Linked DNA regions of Macaca mulatta. The protein of the gene in region 1 interacts with the protein of each later gene in a biochemical or structural test. Links are inferred from orthologs where the notes say so. Each region holds a gene or a part of one and is shown on either strand. Other genes may lie near its edges.

Region 1 (6,466 bases):
CAACAAAAAACTAGCCTTAACACTATAATATGATCTCTGATTCTCACAACCAAACCTTTTCCCCGTTACTTTAGAAAGAGATACCCACATTCTCTCTGTTCTTGCACAGGGACTGTATTGTTATAAAGGGGCTGATATACTTTGTTTGCATGGTGAAGTAACACAAAAGTTGGGGAGGAAAAGGAAGTTTGTTTCCTAAGAGTGACATGCACACACAAAGAAAATGAAAGTAGATATGTTAGAAGCAGCAAATATCACCCTCTAGAAGAAATGAGCAGAGAAGGGTCGCCAATTGTGACGGGTGGGCAGCCACACACACATACTCTGGGGACCCACAGCTTCTGCCACATGGCAGGAGGTCCCAGGGCCCTGGGCTTTGTGCTCCCAAGTACCTTCTCTGGCTTAGTGTCCCAGCACTCCATCATGAGTGCCTGCAATCGATGGAACTGCACTTCCTCCGGCTGCCCCAGAACTGGGCGGATGCCCTTGGACAGTTTCTTGGCAATCTGGAGCTGGTGGTGGCCCAGTGCAGGTCGCTGTCCTGACAGCAACTCGTAGAGCACCATTCCATAGGAGAACATATCTACCTGGGCACAGAATAAGCCAAGTCAGGTCCCTGCCTGGGCCCAGTGGCCTTCACTAGTTGGCCCTGAGGTTGACAATTAGACAAGGAAAACAAACATTCAACCAACCACCTGACCATGTCCCTCTGTCCATTTATCCATCCATCCTCCCAACTACCCATCCATCCACCCATCTGACCACTTTCTCTTCTATCCATTTATCTCTCCATTTTCTTACCCTTTCTTCTTTCCATCCATCCATCCATCCATTTGCTTGTCTTCCTGTACATTTATCCATTCTTCTCATCTGTCCATCCATCTGACCACCTGTCCTGCACATTTATCCATCTATCTTCCTATCCTTCCTCTTTTCCATCCACCCATCCATCTGACTTCCCACCATATCGTCCATTTGCCCATTGTCCCATCCATCCATCCATCCATCCATCCATCCATCCATCCATCCATCCATCCTTCCTTCCGTCCAATAAAACATACTGAGAACTTGCTGTTAGTCACTGATTAAGGACTCCAAGGAGGTCATGGTCCTTATCCGTGAGTAGCAAGACAAGGCAGGAAAACACATACCCTCAGCTTGATGTGCTTGGTACTAAAAGTGCTGTGTATGCAACTCATAAAAAAAGGAGTGTCTCCTGGATCACAACATGTTGCCTTCTCTAATTTTCATAATCATAAAAAGGTCCAGCAAGGAAAATTTATACAGACCCCTATAAGGGTCAAGAAATAATATTTTAGCAGGAGAATGGCTGAAATAGACTTGAGAATTTCAAATGTGAATGTTTCCATGATAATCTGAGTTTCAAGGTGACCTCCTTATTGAAGTCACCTACTATTGTGAAGCTCTTATTTTTGTTGCTTTGATTTGCCTTTTCTATCTTGGGCAACAGCCACAGGTGCTGAGCTAATCCACACATGCACAGGTCATTCCTACAGCAATTAGTCAATGACCATCTGAAAAATCACCAAATAATAAGAAATTATAGACAAGAGAATTTTAATGCTGGGTGATTAATTAACAAGGCTGGTACTAGATGCAATACATGCATGGTAAGATGACTTTAAGTTGTCTGTGGGCCTGCATCTACCAAATAGCCATCAGGGATAAATGTTATTAGAAGATCAATATTTAGTCATTGTCTCAACTGAGGCTGGCAGCGCAGTTGCCTGGGGATGCCAGCTTGTCCTTTCACTCTTCTCCTGGTTCGGCATTCAACTTGGCCAGCACCCTGTGACCAGGACTTAAGGACAGGGGTCTTTACCGTCCTTATTCTGTCTACTCCTCCTGAGTGCCCTGCAAGGCTGGTCCTGTGTCCTCATTGTGCACATCTAAATGTGAGTTGGAGCCCAAATCCAGACGTGTTTCTGTCTTGGACTCTTCATCTGCTGTTTACAGCCTCTACAATGTTTCTGAATCAAGGTTTGAGAACTCTGAGGCTAAGGAGAAGTCAATCTTGCTACAAGCAGACAGACATAGGCCCCTGCTCCCTTCTGGTTCAAGCCAGAACCTCCCTCATGGAGCAAGGGAGAGGGAGAAAAATGTGCTTTTGGGGATGCTGAGCCCCGAAGCTGCAGGTGCCTCCAGGAATGCCTGGCTAGCCTCAGGGCTGGGCTCCTGCATTGTGGGGCTGGGCCAGGGGATCCAGGCAGATACCTTCTCATCATATACAATTCGAGGCCTGATCTCTGGGGCCTGGTAGCCAGGAGTGCCCTCCACGCCTAGAGCACCCTCATGGAATGACTGCCTCGAAATCCCGTAGTCAGATAGCTTGATGTTGATGTGCTCCTTGACGTCAAGGGACCACACCAGAATGTTGTCCGACTTCAGGTCGCAGAAGATGATGTTTTTCTTGTGCAGGTAGGCCAGGCCCGAGGCAATCTGGTAGGCTATTTTTTGGGTGAGCATGTGTCCCAGCGGTATGAAGGAAGAATCTTGCAAAGAAAAACAATTTTCAAATGTATCAAAATTTCAGTTTTGATAGAATCAAATTATCATGATAGCAACTGTCTTTTTGTCTTCCTATCTCCCTAGATACTATATATTCTTTTTTTCTTTTTTCTTTTTTTGAGACAGAGTCTCCCTCTGTCACCCAGCCTGGCGTGCAGTGGCACGATCTCAGCTCACTGCAAACCCTGCCTCCAGGGTTCAAGCAATTCTCATGCCTCAGCCTCCCAAGTTGAGTAGCTAGGACTACAGGCACATGCCACCATGCCTGGCTAACTTTTGTATTTTTAGTAGACATGGGGTTTCACCATGTTGGCCAGGCTGGTCTTGAATTCCTGGCTTTAAGTGACCTGCCCGTCTGGGCCTCCCAAAGTGTTGGGATTGCACATGTGAGCCACTGCACCTGGCCCCTAGATACTTTATATTCTATTGACACATTCTCACTATTCACCAGACTGCCAGAAGGGGCAGAGAATGGCCTGGTTAAGTGAAATAGTATTTAGGATAGAAGTGCTCATCACTATAGCTTCATTCATGATACCTTATTCCTGGAATTGCTGGCAGTTTTGCTGAATGAGCAAGGATTCGAAATCTCTAGAGTTCATCTCAGGTCAAGGCTGTCCTACGTAAAGGGGTCAGTTGCAAGTAGAAGAATTTTGTTTGGCTGGGTGTGGTGGCTCATGCTGGTAATTCCAGCACTTTGGGAGGCTAAAGTGGGGGGATCGATTGAGCTCACAGTTCGAGAACGACCTGGGCAACAGGGCGAAAGGCCATCTCTACAAAAAACAAAACAACAAATTAGCTGGGTGTGGTGGCATATGCTTGTAGCTACTGGGGAAGTTGAGGTAGGAGGATTGCTTGAGTTCAGAAGGTCAAGGCTGCAGTGAGCTGAGATTGCACCACTGTACTCCAGCCTGGCCAACAAAGCAAGATCCTGTATGAAAAAAATAAAATAAAAATAAAATAAAATAAAGAATTTTGTTTAAAAAATTATCTTCCATTGAGGCGGAAGTGATTCATTTTAATAGCATTTCTTCTTCCCTAGTCACCCTCTGGCAACTCTGGAGTTTAGTTGCTCATTTCTCAACGTAAATTACTTTAACGTTTTATTTTAAAATATAGTATGGTCCCACTGATCCTAGGATCTGAGTCTCAGCAGTGGTGTGCATGTGCAGTTAAGAAAGTGATTTAATGCAGCTCATGTGCTTGGTGCCCTCCCAGAGAGGATGTTATCATCCTCCTTTTATAGGCAAATAAACTCAGCAGCTTCCTGGACTGTGGCAGAGCCTGGTCTTAGCCGACTCCACAGCGTGCCCTCTGCCGTCCTCGCCAAGGCTCTGCCCAGTGACTGGACCTGGCGAGGTGCCTGGCCTCACACCCAGGGGATGGTCACACGAACCATGGGTTGGGTGTGCCGTGGGCTTGCCAAGGCCACCTGAGGCTCTACCCCTGTGCCAGGCAGGAGGCCCTTGGGGCTCTGTTGGTCTCAGGAGCTGGGTGGGGCGGCGCACCGCGGTACCTCTGGCGTTCTCGGACAGCACGGTGTTGAGGCTGCTGAGTGGCGCGAGCTCCAGGGCGAAGCAGAGCGGGTGGATGCTGATGCCGATAAGCGCCACAATGCAGGGGTGCTGCAGCGCGTGCAGCATGCTGGCCTCCTGCCGGAACTCAGAGAAGTTCTTCATGGCGTCCGTGGCCCGCAGGTGCCTCAGCATGGTGTCTGCCGTGGAAAGCGCAGTGTCAGCCAGCAGGACACGGGGTGCCTGCAGCCTCAGGTCTCTCTAAGGTGGCACAGAGCTTAGACCCGGGCAGCATATGTCTGAGAAAAACAGCACCAACCTGGGACCCGCTTACCTGCCGGGACATTAGCAAAGTTCTTGAATTTTTTGATGTGGAAGCGCTTGACAGCTACGGGCTGGCCCTGGTACCGGGCCCGGTAGATGACGGTGCCACTGCCACCCTGGCCCAGGACGCTGCCCTCGTCCTCGCTGTGCTCCAGCTTGCTGTTCTCCAGGAAGAGCCTGCCACACACACTTGGCATCAGCCACATCGCCCCGGCCCTGACGCAGGTGGGTCCTGGGCTGGGTCATTTGTCCCCATGGCCGAGAGTCATGGTTCAAAGCCATCTGTGAGGCTGGACAGATCTGGGCCACCCCGGCCCTGCCACTTGCGGGTGGGCACACCTGGGTGGGTTATGGAGGCTTGCTAAGCCTCAGTCTCCTCTGTAAAGTGGGCTCAGGACCCGAACAGCCTCAGAGGTGATGATGGCTGGTACAGGGTGAAGTCCACGGAAGTGGTGGCCATAGAGAAAGGATCCCTTTGGAAGTTTTCTTCTGAAAGGTGACGTTTCCTATTTCCTCCCCAATTCTCTCCCTAGTTATCATCTTGGGTTAGCATAGGTAGAATAAACTCTAAGAACAGATTTGAGGGGTCCAATGCTGAGCACTAGGGTTACAGATAGGAGTCAGCGTTTGACAAAGGAGGTAAACAAGGCTCTGGGTGGGAGCTCTCCCCTTCCTGAATGCCCGAGGAGTGCCGGCTGTGCTTATCTGCTGGCCCAGGAGCTGGTGGGGAGGTAGGACTGGAAAGGAGAGGCAGCTCAGGAGAGAGCAGCTCTGGCTACGAGGGGAAGGGGGAGGCATATGGGGAGACAGGATGGCTGCACTTGCAAAGCGCTTTTCCCAGCTGGGCCTACCAAGGCCTCCAAAATGGAAAGCCAGCAGCCTGTACCCTTCAGGCAGCCGAGGATGGGAACCTAAAAAGCTACTGAGATTGGTGGGAAGTGATGGCTGGAGCATCTGCCAGCTCCGGAGGGGTCTTCCTGGAGATCACTTGGCAACTGCACAACGAGGAGCGCCCCCTGTGACCTGCACTGTGTTCTGGGAGGGGCCTTCGGGGTATACCTGGCCGGGAAGTCGGTCATGAACAGTTCAGGGACCAGCTCCTGGAGCGGCACGGGGAGGTCCGGGTGTCTGGGACAGGAGATGAAGTCCCGCTCGATGGCTGTGAGGACGCAGTCTTCCATGTCGAAGTATTGCACACCCTCTGATTTCTCACTGGGGTCTGTGTGCTGGGCCCAGGCTATCTCGCAGACTGGGCAGGGCACATACTGCTCCATGAGTGGAGTCCCGTCACTCTCTGTGGCCGTCAGGGCTAAATAAGGACAGAGCAAGAGACAGCTTCACAAGAAGGAGGTGCAGGAGGGCCCCTGAGCAGCACTCTGTACCCCAGGCCCCGAGGCCTTCACAGCAGGGGAGTTGCCTGTCCTGGCCTGTACCCGAGAGACAGGCCGAAACCCATTGCCACATTCAGGTGCCTTTTTGGAGAGCGCAATTGTTTGTCCTGAAAGATGCGTCTAGGGAGGGTTCAGGATGCTTCTGAGAACTGCCCAGTGGTCGGGACCCTGAGCAGGCTGGCTGGGGGGCCTGAGAGGAGGGTGGGGATCCCTCCTGCATGACTGGGCCCTAACAGGTCATTACAGACTAGGTCTGAGCTATCCTCCAACAATCACAGCAGTGTGGAAACCACTCTTCCTACAATTAGAAACATCAGGTTTGCAATGTCTATGAAGGGCAATGCAGGGGGAGAAATGAGTGCAAATTATCACAGACAAAACTGAGTCAGTGGACATGGGTTCCCTCCCACGCCTCTGATAGGAGGTGCAGAGAAACACCCTCCAAGGTGCCCTGTGGAGGTGCCCTCAGGGCAGGCCAACTGCCTGCTTCATGCAGGGTAGGAAGTGGATGCCTAGAACTTTCCAGGCACATCTGATATCTGTAGGTCCATGTGTAAGGCATCCCGTTGGGAGGGGCCCCTGGCTGGGGATGCCAGCTCCAGGCAGCCTGTCTCAGGTGCTCACCAGAGCCCTTTCCATCTCAGGTGACTGTCTAAGGGATCCACCTGTCAAACTGCCCAGCACCTGCTGTGGGGGGAACACTGGCTG
Region 2 (6,466 bases), on another chromosome or scaffold:
GATTCAACACATGTAAACTTCAATTTTACATAAATAAGAGAATTACAGTATGAATTATTCATATGAAGGTAAAAATGCGCAAACTGATAAAATAGAATGTTTGTATCATTTCCACTGGGAATGTCACAGGACTGATAATGAAGCTTCTAATCAAACTATGCTAATCAGCAGCATACTACCCAGTTTAAAAGGTACCCTTACTTCTACTTTACTCCACACGATTTCTTATTTGCCACCATCTTCTCTTTTTCTTATTGAAGTACATAAGAAATAAAAACTGTTGGGGATTCAAATAAATTTTTCTATATGCACAGTTGGTTATGGTTATATTATTACATATACTCTTTCATTTCAGATACAAATGATGTTAAAATCATCATGGGTTTATTTAATCATAGAATAAAAGTATTAAAGGAAAGTAGTTTTTTAATAAGAATATACTATAATTGTTGCATTTCTTTTTTTTAAGAGATGGAGTCTTGCTTCCACCTGCCAAGTAGCTGGGGCTATAGGTGCACGCCACCCATGTCCACCAGTTCTGTTGCTAATGCTTTTGTTGCTAGTTTGATAAGAATTTCATCAAGTTGCTTAAGTGTAATGAGCAACATAGATTATATTTTCAAATCATTCCCACTGGTCTTTCTTGGATTTGCTTATAAGTTTGTTGTATAAATAATAAAAATTACGTTTGAAATTACAGTAATTTTTGGACTATTTGTTATCTAGAACATTCTGGACAAATATTCAATATGTAAGGGCAGTATAGACCTTCCTGAGGATAAAATTTTGAAGAACAGTCACCTGGGAATAGGAATTCACATTAATATATAATTTAAATCAAGACCCCAGGTCACTTCCTAGACTTGAGGGTAGAGGACCTAATGCCTAAATTTCACTCCTCTTTAGGTGACTCTATTAATTGATGAAATGGCTATAACAGAAGTGACTGACTGATGTGCTACTTAAAAACAGCTAGAGGCTGGGTGCGGTGGTTGGTGTCTGTAATCCTAGCACTTTTGGAGGCCGAGATGGGAAGATCACTTGAGGTCAGGCATTCGAGACTGGCCTGGGCAACACAGTGATACCTAGTCTCTATAAGAAATAAAAAAATTAGCTGGGCGTGGTGGCATGAATGCAGTGGTGCAATCATAGCTCACTGCAGCCTCAAACTCCAGCACTCAAGTAATCCTCCTGCCTCAGTCTCCCTAGTGGCTGGGACTGCAGGCATGTGCCATCATGCCCAGCTAATTTTTAAAAAAATTTTATAGAGACAAGGGTCTTGCTGTGCTGCCCAGGCTGGTCTCAAACAACTGGCATCAAGCAATCCTCCTGGCTTGGTCTCTGAAAGTGCTGGGATTACTGGCATGAGCCACTATGCCTGGCCAACTTAAAGATACTGATTTGTTAAAATGATAATCTTTTTTCTTTTTTTAAGAAAGAATCTCGCTCTATCGCCCAGGTTGGAGTGCAATGGCCCAATCTCAGCCCACTGCAACCTATGCCTCCTGGGTTCATATGATTCTCCTGCCTCAGCCTCCCGAGCAGCTGGGATTATAGGCGCTTACCACCAAGCCCAGCTAATTTTTGTATTTTTAGTAGAGATGGGGTTTCACCATGTTGGTCAGGCTGATCTTGAACTCCTGCCCTCAGGTGATCCAACTGCCTCGGCTTCCCAAAGGGCTCAGATTACAGGCATGAGCCACCGAGCCCAGCCTGATAATTTTTTCTTAAATAAAATATATTTTAAACATTTTATAGATACTCTAAAAATGCTACCTTCAAGAGGCCAAAAGGCATGTAATTTAACACACAGTAACACCAAGTGTTACTGAATATATAGGCAACAGCGAAAATACTCCCAATTACATGTTCATATCACAGTAATTTTATATGATAGAGAACAAAATCAAGAGAAAAAATGTTTTATCATAGCTGGAAAAAAGACTATTTAACACGCAAGAGTACATTTTAACATAAATTATATCTCAGTAAACTTTGTAAGACTTAAGAGAAATTAAAGATTTTTCTAAATTCCAAAGACACAAAAATGAAAAATTTGCTACAAGTTACATAGGAGTTTTGGTCACCATTTTCAAATGTTATCAACTTAACCCCTTTCCTCTAAAAACAATAAAAACCTCAACTTACAAATTCCTTTTTCTGTAATTTCTGAAATGCTCTCATTACTAACAGGGTCTCATATTTCAGACATTATTTGTCGGCTTCTAACCATACATCTAAAGATCCATACTTACAAAGTCCTCCTCTTCAAACTGCAACTTTTCCACCTTGTCTTCTTTCTTTTCTTCCCTAATCTCCATAGGTGGCTTTTCCGCAAAAGCACACCCTTTTCGGGAGTGGAAGCTGCCATTCCAGTGGCGATGGTTCCCTGTGCCACCTCCGCTACGCTGGCTCATGCCATCATGACCTCGGGAGGAGCTATGCCAACCAGAAGGGTTCCCTGTGATTCCAGCATATGCTCCCTTAGAGACACCAGAGTCCACAGAATCATGGCGGAACAGGGAGGGCTGGTGCCAAGAATCTAGAATAGTAAAGAAAAGGAACTAATTACATTGTTTGCTTCCTGATTTGGTTTAAGGTATCGGCAAAAGGCCTTCAGGGGAACTTGTTAAAAAAAAGTCCACACACAAAAAAATCACAAAATGTATCTTTTCTTTGTGAGGTAATTTCTGAAATCAGTCCAACTGAATAGATGATTCACGAGAATCATAATCATAGTTAGACCTAGAAAGAAATGTAGTTGTGTAATGACTACTAGAGAATCTAAATGAAAACTATGTTCAGAAAAGATCCTATTTCAAGATTACAGACACATACCCACAGCCCGGGCTTGTCCTAAATGAGTAGCTTAAATATAGTCATGAAAGTTGGACACAGCTCACCTCCTGCAGTTCGTAGGAGACCATTGTTAAAAAAACCATCAGAGGAATTATGTCGACGGCGGCTTACTCCAAATCTACCTTCTCCTCTAGGCAGGTGCTCTCCGTGTTTTTCGAAGGTGGCAGTAGGTGACTAAGATGATGAAGTATGGAGAGGCAAATGGATAAACAGCTATTAGTCCCTTTCAATATCTTAATAGGCTTTGCATCAGGCCTTCAAAAAACAAGTAATAATGGTGATAGAAACCCCGTATTATAAACATATAGACCCTAAGGGTACCCCCAGGTGCCTAATTTAGAGAAGTCCTGGGTTATATATTCAATCATTAATTCACTTCCTTTATTCCAAATAATAAATATTGGAATAAATATTTATTCCAATAATAAATATTGGAGAGGAGAAAAGCTAGCCACTTCAATTGTTTGCATGAAAGGAGGGGGAGGGGAAAAAAAACCTTGCAAATATCTGTAAGTATAAGCTCCAAAACTTTACACTTAAAAATATTTATCTTGTAAGAGAGGAAAATCAAAACGATTGCCTCAAAAATAATCCTAAAGTTTTAGTATTTCTGGAATAAGGGTGAAGGCAATGGTTGAAATATCACCCTAGGAGGTCGGTAGTAATTACAGAGTTTTTTTTTTTTTTTTTAAAAAAAGTGATGAAGTCTCATGGTTGCCCAGGCTGGAGTGCAGTGGCACAATCAAAGCTCACTGCAGCTGCTTACCCTTGAGCTTAAAGGATCCTCCTGCCTCGGCCTATGGAGCAGCTAGAACTATTGGCCCATGCCACTAAGTCTGGCTAATCTTTTAAATTTTTTGTAGAGATGGAGGTCTCACTATTTTGCCCAGGCTGATCTCTCACTCCTGGCCTCAAGCAATCCTCCTGCCTTGGCCTCTCAAAGTTCTGGGATTACAGGTGTATGCCACAGCACCGAGCTACTAGAGTTCTTATAGTTTTATAAAACATTTATTTCCAGATATAATACTTGTAACAATATTAAACTTTTGGCATCATACCCATTTTACTCATTTACACACAATGAAAGAGGTCAAGAGAGAAAAAAATAAGTCTCTGAGGTAATAAAACTGAAAGGAAGCAGTCTGAGAAACTTTATAGATTAACTCTAATATCCCTTCCTATTTCAAAGAATTTTATTCTATGACATTCATTTTTTGTTTTTTGTTTTTTTTTTGAGACGAAGTCTCGCTCTGTCACATCGGCTGGAGTGCAGTGGAGCTATCTCGGCTCATTGCCAGCTCTGCCTCTTGGGTTCATGCCATTCTCCTGCCTCAGCCTCCTGAGTAGCTGGGACTACAGGCGCCTGCCACTGCGCCCGGCTAATTTTTTGTATTTCTAGTAGAGACGGGGTTTCACCATGTTAGCCAGGATAGTCTTGATCTCCTGACCTCGTGATCTGCCCACCTTGGCCTCCCAATGTGCTGGGACCACAGGCATGAGCCACCGTGCCCGGCCTATTCTATGACATTCTTAAATTATAGAGACCAAAGTCCATAAAGCCATGAAAATATGGGTATGTTTGGCACGGAAAACCTAAGTCAGAGCATGTTTACATTTACTTTTCTTTTTTTTTTTTTTTTTTGAGACGGAGTCTCGCTCTGTCGCCCAGGCTGGAGTGCAGTGGCGTGATCTCGGCTCACTGCAAGCTCCGCCTCCCAGGTTCACACCATTCTCCTGCCTCAGCCTCCCGAGTAGCTGGGACTACAGGCGCCCACAACCGCGCCCGGCTAATTTTTTGTATTTTTAGTAGAGACGGGGTTTCACCGTGGTCTCGATCTTCTGACCTTGTGATCCGCCCGCCTCGGCCTCCCAAAGTGCTGGGATTACAGGCGTGAGCCACCGCGCCCGGCCTACATTTACTTTTCTTACTATCAATATCCTTGCCAATATTTTACCCATTCGAGTGGGTAAAAAGATTTTCTCCTGTTTTCTCTTAAAAGTCTTACAGTTTTAACTTTTTAACTTATGTTCCATTTCAAGTTAATTTTTCTGTGTATGAAGCAAACGCTGAGGTTCTTTACCCTGCCCCCATACAGATAGAAGCTAGTTCTTCTAGTTCAAAAACACAACACTATCACTTCCTCATTGAATTACCTTTGTACTTTAGTCAAAAATCAACGAAATACATACATAAGCCTTTTCCTTGTTTTTTTAAAAGCCAAGGTCTCACTCGGTCATCCAGACTGGAGTACAGTAGCCCGATCATAGCTCACTGTGGCCTCAAACTCCTTGGCTCAAGTGATCCTCCCGCCTTAGCCTCCCGAGTAGCTGGGATGACAGGTATTCGCCACCACACCTGCCTAGTTTTTTTCAAATTTTTCTTGTAGAGACAAGGTCTTACTTTGCTGCCCAAGCTGGTCTCAAACTCCTGGCTTTCAAGCAACCCTTCTGCCTCAGCCTCTCAAAGTGCTGGGATTACAGGCATGAGCCACGGAGCCCAGCCTCTACAGGCCTATTTTTGAACTCACTATTCTATTATATTCCTTTTATGTCTATCCCCTTATGCCAAAACCACAGGACTTTGCTTACTATAGTTTTGAAAATGAAAGAATGTCTTCTAATTCTTTTTACTTAGTTCACTGTGCTAAAACAATTATTCTTCTCTGATAGATCTGTGTACTTCTCATGTAGCCCACTAGCTCCAAGCCTTGGGTCAGATTAGGCCAATTATAAGATCCTGCAAATTTCATTAATACAATTTGAAATTAAGTTTAGAACCGGGTGTGGTGGTTCACTGCTGTAATACCAGCACTTTGGGAGACTGAGGCAGGTACATCACTTGAGCCCAGGATTTCAAGACCAGCTGGGCAACATGGCAAAACCCCATCTCTACAAAAAAATACAAAAAATTAGCTGGAAGTGGTAGTGTACGCCTATAGTCCCAGCTACCTTGGAGGATGAGGTAGGAGAATCGCTTGAGCCAGGGAAGTCAAGGCTGCAGTGAGCCATGATCGCACCACTGCACTCCAGCCTGGGCAACAGAGTAAGACCCTGTCTATAAAAAAACAAACAAAAATCCCAAAATGAAGTTTAGGCTGGTACAGTGGCTCATGCCTGTAATCTCAGCACTTCTGGAGGCTGAGGTGACAGGATCGTTTGAGGCCAGTTCTAGAACACCTTGGGCAACATGGTGAGACTCTATCTCTACAAAAAAAACCAAAAAAGTTAGCCGGGCATGGTGGTGCTCGCCTGTAGTACCAGCCACTCTAGAGGCTAAGGTGAGGGGACTGCTTGAGCCCGGGAGTTCAAGGCTGCAATGAGCTATGACCATGCCACTGTACTCCAGCCCGGGTGACAGACACCCTGTCTCAAAAATAAATAAGTAAAAGAAAGTTGAAATAAAATGAAGTTCAAAGAAAAGACCATTGGTCTAGATGAGACCAGAAGCACTTTCCCGAAGTCCACATTTTAAAATAGGAAAGGTAGGCCTTTTTGAGAATGCCTACCAATTTCACTCTTCCTCTATTCGTTGGCAAAATGGGAAACGCTTTTAAGTTTACTAGCTTCCCAAACGTTTTATCAATAACTCAGGCTGATTCTTTTGTGT

What was found.
Region 2: the proteins of LRRK1 (region 1) and GPBP1L1 form a complex in vitro, tested with the Homo sapiens proteins (2 studies listed by BioGRID and IntAct, with this or other methods). The link is inferred for Macaca mulatta from reciprocal best matches to the Homo sapiens genes LRRK1 and GPBP1L1.

Annotation. Positions count from the first base shown.
Region 1 is NC_133412.1:91,420,928-91,427,393, reverse strand, and holds part of LRRK1 (leucine-rich repeat serine/threonine-protein kinase 1), read right to left. Parts: intron 5,677-6,466; coding exon 5,427-5,676; intron 4,545-5,426; coding exon 4,378-4,544; intron 4,244-4,377; coding exon 4,046-4,243; intron 2,514-4,045; coding exon 2,236-2,513; intron 588-2,235; coding exon 393-587; intron 1-392.
Region 2 is NC_133406.1:194,949,472-194,955,937, reverse strand, and holds part of GPBP1L1 (vasculin-like protein 1), read right to left. Parts: intron 3,034-6,466; coding exon 2,904-3,033; intron 2,543-2,903; coding exon 2,256-2,542; intron 1-2,255. UniProt on the Homo sapiens protein: Possible transcription factor.